Linked DNA regions of Elephas maximus indicus. The protein of the gene in region 2 purifies or fractionates together with the protein of the main gene of each other region. This does not show direct contact. Links are inferred from orthologs where the notes say so. Each region holds a gene or a part of one and is shown on either strand. Other genes may lie near its edges. The genes, in order: CDK19 and MED13L.

The links.
Region 1: the proteins of MED13L (region 2) and CDK19 purify together in Homo sapiens (affinity purification with mass spectrometry; 5 studies listed by BioGRID and IntAct, counting the BioPlex papers as one, with this or other methods). This does not show direct contact. The link is inferred for Elephas maximus indicus from reciprocal best matches to the Homo sapiens genes MED13L and CDK19.

The regions. Positions count from the first base shown.
Region 1 is NC_064819.1:176,759,669-176,763,579, forward strand, and holds the start of CDK19 (cyclin-dependent kinase 19), read right to left. Parts: upstream 2,461-3,911; 5' UTR 2,153-2,460; coding exon 2,025-2,152; intron 1-2,024.
Region 2 is NC_064840.1:14,030,953-14,034,863, reverse strand, and holds the start of MED13L (mediator of RNA polymerase II transcription subunit 13-like), read left to right. Parts: upstream 1-793; 5' UTR 794-885; coding exon 886-957; intron 958-3,911. UniProt on the Homo sapiens protein: Component of the Mediator complex, a coactivator involved in the regulated transcription of nearly all RNA polymerase II-dependent genes.

The DNA.
Region 1 (3,911 bases), on a different chromosome or scaffold from region 2:
CAAATAAATTTCACTCAAGAAGGATATGTATTTGAATCAACAACTTTATTAGAGGGGGGAAATATTCAAAAAGAATGGAAATAGGAATTATATTATCTGCTGTTTGTTGTTGTTGTAAGCCCATGCTACTCAAATACAATTCAGAAGAAAATTCTTAACTTTTCTCAGAAATTGTCTGCTAAAAGGAAGTTATTTTAATCAAAAAAAATTTTTTTAATACATTTAAAAATTCTAGGTCAAGTGTACTACAAAGTTACCACGAGGAGTGTGAAAAGAGCCACTTTTATTTTGTAATGCCAATGTCTAAACAGGAAAACTTGATGTGCCTTCCCCAAATATATTTGATAACACTCCCACAGGAACACCAGTATTACAAGTAAAGTACATATTTCAAAAACAAAAGTTAATTATAGTACCTCACATCCCATGATACTCATTCAAGAACACCTGGCAATTATAAGAATTATGACAAAAGTTCACAAACAACTGAGTACTATCCGGCCTGTTTAGCCATAAGAAAGAAAAAATAATAACAATAATAATAATCCTGAAATTTGTAATTTTCAACATATTTTCACAGAAAATATTTCTGAAATTTTTTGTACAGAGAATCATAATTCTTGACACCCAACTCTAGATTGGGGGGAAAAAACTAGGGGCAAATGTCTCCAAAACTTTACAGTAATTGTGTTTTGTTTTTCCCTTTATGAAACTAGTGGGCAAGCGCGCGCGCGCACACACACACGCACACATTCACACACACAACCTACCTACTTTGGTCCTAGAGTTCAGAAACCTACCATATCAAATTGCAACAGCGTGCACAGAAAGTGGCCCTTCAAATCTTACTAATGTCAGTGTGGCTGATACTCAGTTTATTCGGAAATGTTCAATACGACCCTAAAGCTCTGTTCTTTACACGTTGACAGTCTTTATGCAGTTTAAGCATGGCAGGCAGATCTTTCTGGACGCCCTAACCCTGGGGGAGGGGAATTCCTACAACGATGGGACATGCGGTAATAACTGGCCACCCATCACAGAGAGCTGGTTCCACCTGTCCTGCAGTTCGAGCTCAACTACTCGTAATATCGTCCAGTTCGACTTCTAATGAGGTAGGAGATTCCCGAAGATGTCCTACGGTTCTCCCTCAACTCCCAGGAAAACAAAGGTTCAGGCCCAGCTCTGTGTCACTCTGTACTCCGTTTTTGATAATCTAGATGCCCAGTAAACCCCAGCACGTAGTCACTTGGCAGAGAACGAAGTGATGGACAGAAGAATACCTAAGGTGAGGGAAAAAGAGGTGCCAGAGAACCTGGCAGAACTCTGAAGTTCTCGCGGGCAAAACGCGGTTACTCTCTCAGGATGTCGTCCCACATTCGAGCGGAACTCAGAGTGAGGGTGTGAAATCGGGGCGCGGGGCGGGGCGGAGACGGGTGAGGAGGGGTCCAAAACACGACAGGGACGCGAGGGACCGAGCTGAAGGGCCAGTTCCGGCTAGCAGGTCCCAGGGGCGGAGGTCGTAGCTGGGACTGCCGTGCACACTGGGTCAGACCCGGGAGACTGCCGGGGACCAAGGCGCTAAGCCGCGCGACTGGCTCCGCGGCGAGGTTTCAAACCGCCGCCCCCGGGAGGGACTCAGCGGATTGGAAGTTCAACAACCGCCGTCACCAGCCCAGGGCCGGAGCGGCAACTCCTCCGCGTCTTCCCAAGAGACCAGACCCCACCAACTCCACCTCTAGCCGAGGTCCAAACTCGTGTCGCCGCCTGCTCCATGTACGCGGAGAGCGCCCTTCGGCATGGGACCGACGGCCCCCGACCGGGCTGCGCCGCGGGAGCTCGAGGGGCGCGACGGAGCCGCAGGGGCAGGGGGGCGTCTCTCAGAGTCAAACCCGGGACATGGCCCCTCTACCACCTCCGCCGCGCCCCTTGGAAACGGTCCGATAGGGCTCCGACCCACCCATCCCGCCCGTTCGCGGACAGGGCGAGGACCCGAGCGACCCTACTCCCCCCGCCCCTGCTCTTACCCATCTTTTCGCCTCGCCTTGTAGACGTGCCCGTAGGTGCCGCGTCCCACTTTGCACCCTTCGTACTCAAACAAATCCTCCACCCGCTCCCGCTCCGCCGCCAGCTTCGCCTTGAAATCATAATCCATTGTCTGCTTCCCCCATAGAGGCACCGGGACGTGGGGGCCGCCGCCGCTCAGTCCCTCCTCCTCCTCCCCCCGCGGCCGCCGCTCCACTTCTCTACAACAGCCGCCTCTCGGGCGCGCGCGCGCCGCCAGCCGCTCCGCGATCCGCTTTCAGCAAGGGACTCCTCGGCGGCCGCGGCAACCACCACCTCCACCTCCTCCTCCTCTGCGGCGGCAGCGGCGACGGCTCCCGCAGGCACCCTCAGTCCCGCCTCCCCCCTTCATTTCCTTGTTTTGGAACCTGGTGGGCCGCGCCGCGGCTTCCTACAGCTCATTAACGAACCAGCCCGTCCGCCCCAAGGTCGCGGAGGCTCCTGGGAAATGTAGTCCTGAAGGCCTCAGGATTGGCTAAAGGATTGCCACCGTAAGAACTGTAACTCCCACGTTGCCTTGGGCCCAGAGCCGCGCCTCCGCAAGGCATGCACGCCGGCGCACTGGGGCCGCCCCTCCCCCTCAGGTAGCGCTGGACTCCCAGTGAAGGTAAAAAGCGCCAAGTTGCAGTGTGCTTTCTGCAAGCCTGTGGGAGCTAGTGGAAAAAGGCCCTTGTTCTAGTAGGAAGGAGGAATTCCAGTCTGATTTTCCAGGCGAGAAGGAATATGGAAAGTACTTAACAAGTGCTTTGCCCAGAAGTTTACTCCAGGGGTTTGCGAGGCGAGGACTGTTGTAATAGAACAGTTCTACTGCAGATTGTTGTTTATTTTCCTTGGCAATTTGTCCTCCAGTTGCCCCCCCCCCCCTCATCTGGCCCTCATTGGCGGAGTTTAGAGAATGACGTCCTAGTTGGTGCGTGGGTATCCCCAGTCTTTGGCTTCCTTCCCGCTTTTGATTGGTTGTGCTCAGTTCTTCCTGATAGGTTAATCTTTTTTCTTTACGATGCAAATACATTATTTCAAACGCTGAACCGTCAGCAGTTTCTTAGTTCTTGCATTGGTTGAAGAGAACCTATAACTTCTCAGCCCCATCCTTTTCGTGGTGCTGTAGTAGGTCTTCCGCCCTAACTTTGGTAGCCAAGCTTTGACCATCTAAGAACAATCGGAATGCCTAGAAGATCCAGCGTTTTAAAAACAATCGTTTTGGTTGGATTGAAAAGGGCTTTATATATATATGGTCTATGCATATTATGAACATTGATTCATTTCATTATTGTGTTCGTAAAGTCTCAGATACTCGAAATACAAACTTAAATGTGATTGATGCTAGGATAGGATTTATGTACTACATTCGGTGGGAGCACGAAGGAGGGAATGATCGATTTTGCCTGAAGTAGGGAAAGTTATAGTGACTTCTGCTTGCTAGGTATTGGAAGAAGCCTGGAAAACTGAAAGGGGGGCGGGAGGAGAGAATTGCTTGTTTACTCCAACAATCCCGCCTGGGAAGCTTCCTCAGATCTTGAAGGCATGTTCAATAAAGTAACTGAGTTTCTCTTATTGCAAACCACTATGATAACTGCTGGAGATACTAGGTGAAAAACTTGTGTTTTTTTCCTTCGGGGTACTAAAACCTATTGTAGCAATAAACATGTAAGCAAATTAACAGTAAACTGTGTAGGTACAAAGACCAATGGTAGAATATGAGGAGCTCATAACTCTAGAGGTAGGCTTTCCGAAAGTGGGCTGGAGCCAAAATTTAAAGGATAAGTAGGACTTTGCCTAGAAGACAGGTGGGGCAGTAGGGAGCAAGGAGTTATTTCAGGCAGATAGAACAGCATGTACATATATCAAGA
Region 2 (3,911 bases):
GGTCGGGCCGACCGCACTTCTTTCTCTCCCTCCGCGTCTCTGCCCCTCTTCCCGGCCCGAGAAGCCGGCCGCGCTCGGCTCAGCAGCGCCTCCCGCGAGCCGCCACCGCCGCCGCCGCCGCCGCTCCCGGCCCCTCCCCCGCCCGCCCGCGCCCCCCCGCGCGGCCGGCGCCCGTCACGTGACACGGCGCCAGCCAATGGCGGGCCGAGCCGCGGTCGGCGGCCGCCATTGCTGTCAGAGCGAGCGAGCCCGGGGAGGGAGGAGAAGCGAGGCTTACTGGGGAGGAGGGGGGGGGTGGGGGAGGAAGAGGAAGGAGGGGACGTCGCTCGGCTGCCGGGGTCGCCCGCTGGCTTCGTCCGCACCCCCCCCTTCGCGAGTTCGCGCTCCGCGGCGGCGGCGGCTCCGAGGCGGCGGCGGCGGCGGCGGCGGCTCCGGGGCTCGCCTCCCCTCACGCGCCGGCGGGGGCTGAGGGGGAGTCGGTGGCTGGAGATAAACAAGGCGGCGGCGGCGGCCGAGGAGCAGGGAAGGCGGAGGCGGCGGCCGGCCCGCAGCGCCGGCCCGGGAGCCAGCGGCGGCCCTGAGAGGCGGGGAGGGCGCCGGGCCGCGCGGACAGCGCCCCCCGCTGCCGCCTCAGCCGCCGCCGCCGCCGCCGCCCGAGCAGGAAGGAGCCGCGCGGCCGCCGCGGACCCCCCCGCCGGCCCGGGCCCGCCGCCCCCGGCGCGGCGTCGCCGCGGCGCCTCCCGCCCTCCTCCTCCTCCTCCTCCGGCGGCGGCAGCGGCCCGGCCGCCCCGCGCTTCCCGGTGAGGCGCCGCCGTCCGGCCCGGCCTCGCCTCGGACGCCTCGCTCCGACATGCCCCGCTCTGGCGGCCGGGCTCGCGGAGGATCATGACTGCGGCAGCGAACTGGGTGGCGAACGGGGCGAGCCTGGAGGATTGTCACTCCAACCTCTTCTCGCTGGTGAGTAGCCGGGCTGCGGGGAGGGGGGCTGGGCCGGGGGCGCCGACCCCGCCGCCGACCCCGCCGCCGATCAACTTTCTCCTCCCGCCGCCGCCGCCGCCGCCGCTGCCGCCGCCGCCGCCGCCGCCGGGACTTCGCCCCTCCCCGCGGGTCGCCTCTGGCCGCTGCTCTCCCTTGGATCGTCTCTCCTCCGCCTTGGACCCCATCCAGTGTTTATTTGGCTCTTTAAAAATCATTTGTGAGCGCGGCGCCCGGCGTGGAATTGGCATGTGGAAGTCTCAAAGCTGCGGATTCTGGGTCGCACTCGGAGCGCCCACCCTCTGTTGCAATCACACCCCCTCCCGTCTGCCCCCCTTTCCCCCCAAATGTGGAAGGAAGGCTTTGCCTGCTGCTGCCCGCGCCTGCCGTGGGCTGCTAGCAGCCTCGTCCCCCCGGTCGGATCGGCTGTCCGCCCGCCTCCCTTTTGAATTTTTTTTTTTTTTTAAATGCTGTAATGACACCTGCAATTTCGCCCGAAAACAGTTGATCGAATGCGATTGTGTCAGTAAAGGACTCTTGCACCCGGAGCTGCCGCGATTGTAAACACCGACAGCCGCCCGCCCGCCTCTCGGGGCTCAAACGCCGGAGAGCCAGAAAGCCATTGCACCGAGCCGACGGAAGGTGGAGAAAGCTTTTTCTTTTTTCTCTCCCCCTGTGTCTTTTAAAAACTGTTTTCTCTATCCTAACAACGAATCCACACACACACAAAAAAGCAACAAGCTGGGCGGTTTGATAACATCGCTTTTATCTGCCTTCGCCTGGCTCCCTCTCTCTCTCTGATAATTGACAACTTTTCCCTCGGATTTGAATCGCCTGCCTTAATCTTGAAGCAGTTAGGGTGTCAATTGTTCTCCTGGAAGCCCGGCACCCGACGGCGGCGGCTAGATTCATCGAAATTAAAAATGTATAGGACTCCAGCAACTCTTTCCCTGGCGGTGGCAGTGACATTTGGTGGTAAATGCCATCTTTGCTTTTTATTGGGTCGTATTACCTTCTCTGAAAACATTCACGTTGTTAAACCTGGCGTTTAGGCTAATAATTGCAGTGCGTGGTCTTTAAATATGTGCTTTGTGCATGAGTTACTGTATGGAGAGCTATGTGCCCGGGAGAGTAGGAATTTGTTTAAATATTGAGCAAAGGTTTGTAAACAGATGTAAGGCAATTATGTTTGAAGCGTAGAATATAATTGGAAAATTGGCTGAACGGTCTATTTAATTTAGTCTAAAAACAAAAACCAACTTATTTTAACTTGGGTACACTGTTTTGGGGGGATTGCTTTTTGGAGAGTATGCATTTTGGAAATTATTTTCTGTAACCTCTACTGTAGACGGAAGCATCATTTCCTTTTAATCCTTGTTTACACTGGATAAATAATTTAGTGTTCAAATTGTAATTAGTTACATTTAATTATGGGTGGCATAGATCCCCCCCTTAGGGACTAGTGGAGAAATGCAAATTCTTGCCAACTTTTCAAATAAAGTGTTATTAAATATGTTACAGTATTTATGCAGATAAAAAAGTCAACACATGAGATTGTTAGCTACAAAGACTGAGAGACATAGTATCCATGCTTCTACTATAGTACAACCAGGTTACATTTTTTTTTTTCAAACATTCTTATTCAGATATATAATCTTTAAATTCATTTTTAAGTAGTAATTCTTCCTTTTGGTACTGTGATGATTTTCTTGTGATCTTTTAACATATGGGAGTAAAGCTCATTTTGTCTTTTCCTTTTTCCCCTATCACTTAGTATCAGTCAGGTTCAGGGACTCATAGATCAGCAAACATATTGATTAAGGGGTATTTAAAATGTTTTTTGTTTGGCAGCTGGTGACCGCATTGACACTTTTACAGGTAATTAAAATAACCAAATAGACCAATATTGGTGAGGAGAGAGCCCCCAAATTACCATATATCATACTGACTGGTAATGGCTTGTATACGTATATGTGGCTAATTTATATACGGTAGATTAGACAACTGCAATGTATTACCTGTATAGGCAGTGTCTAGGATATATCGTTGCTTTTATCTTCTTTTTTTAAAAGCTAAGTGAGAGTGATAATGTCTTAGAGATAAGATGCTTGAGATTCTTCTGGACAAACAATTTTGTAGGCAAGGATGCTGTACTTTGATTATGACCAATTCAAGTTTTGTGCTTTGAGTATATCTTCCCTCAGCCTCTTTAAATCAGGAAGAGATTTTTGAATATATCTTTTTTTTTTTTTTTAATTTTAAGAATGACTTTTAGGTAGCAACTTTCAAATTCAGAACGGCAGAAATGCATAGCTTGATTTTTTTTTTAAGGACTATAAAGTGTTTAATTGCTACATTCTTTGGTACAGGGAGGGTGGGTAAGGTGCTTTTTTTTTTTTTTTAAATGATGAATCAGTTAAAAAGCTGCTGACTATTATAGCTCTTTCTGGTTGCAAATTGAGAATTTTAATTGAAAATCATATACAGTAGCACCCTAGACTATTAAAAATATGTTGCTTAAGGTGCATTATATGGAATAGTTGAGACTGCCAAGAGATGTCATCATCACCTGTTCAAAATAAAGCATGTCTTGTAAGAAGAATTCTTAATATGTTAAATAATAGCATATATTTTTCCTTGTGTCCTGTAGTTTTTTTTTAAGTGGAGAGAAGTATTGTTTATAGAGAATTTACCTAGATACTCGTATTAGTGTGGATTGAAATATAAACTGGAGGTTAAAGTTCTGTACCACAGTAATGACCTTGCCACTTTCTCTTACCTTAAAGTGTTCATTATGGTTTAACAAAAGTCGGTTGTGCAATTGGGTGCCTTAAGATTTCTGCTTGTGCTTTACTTATGTTGCTTTCAAATTTTTACTTTTCTCCTTTGAGGCTTTAAATTTCCTAAATTCTCCTCTCAGCCCCTCCTCCCTTCTT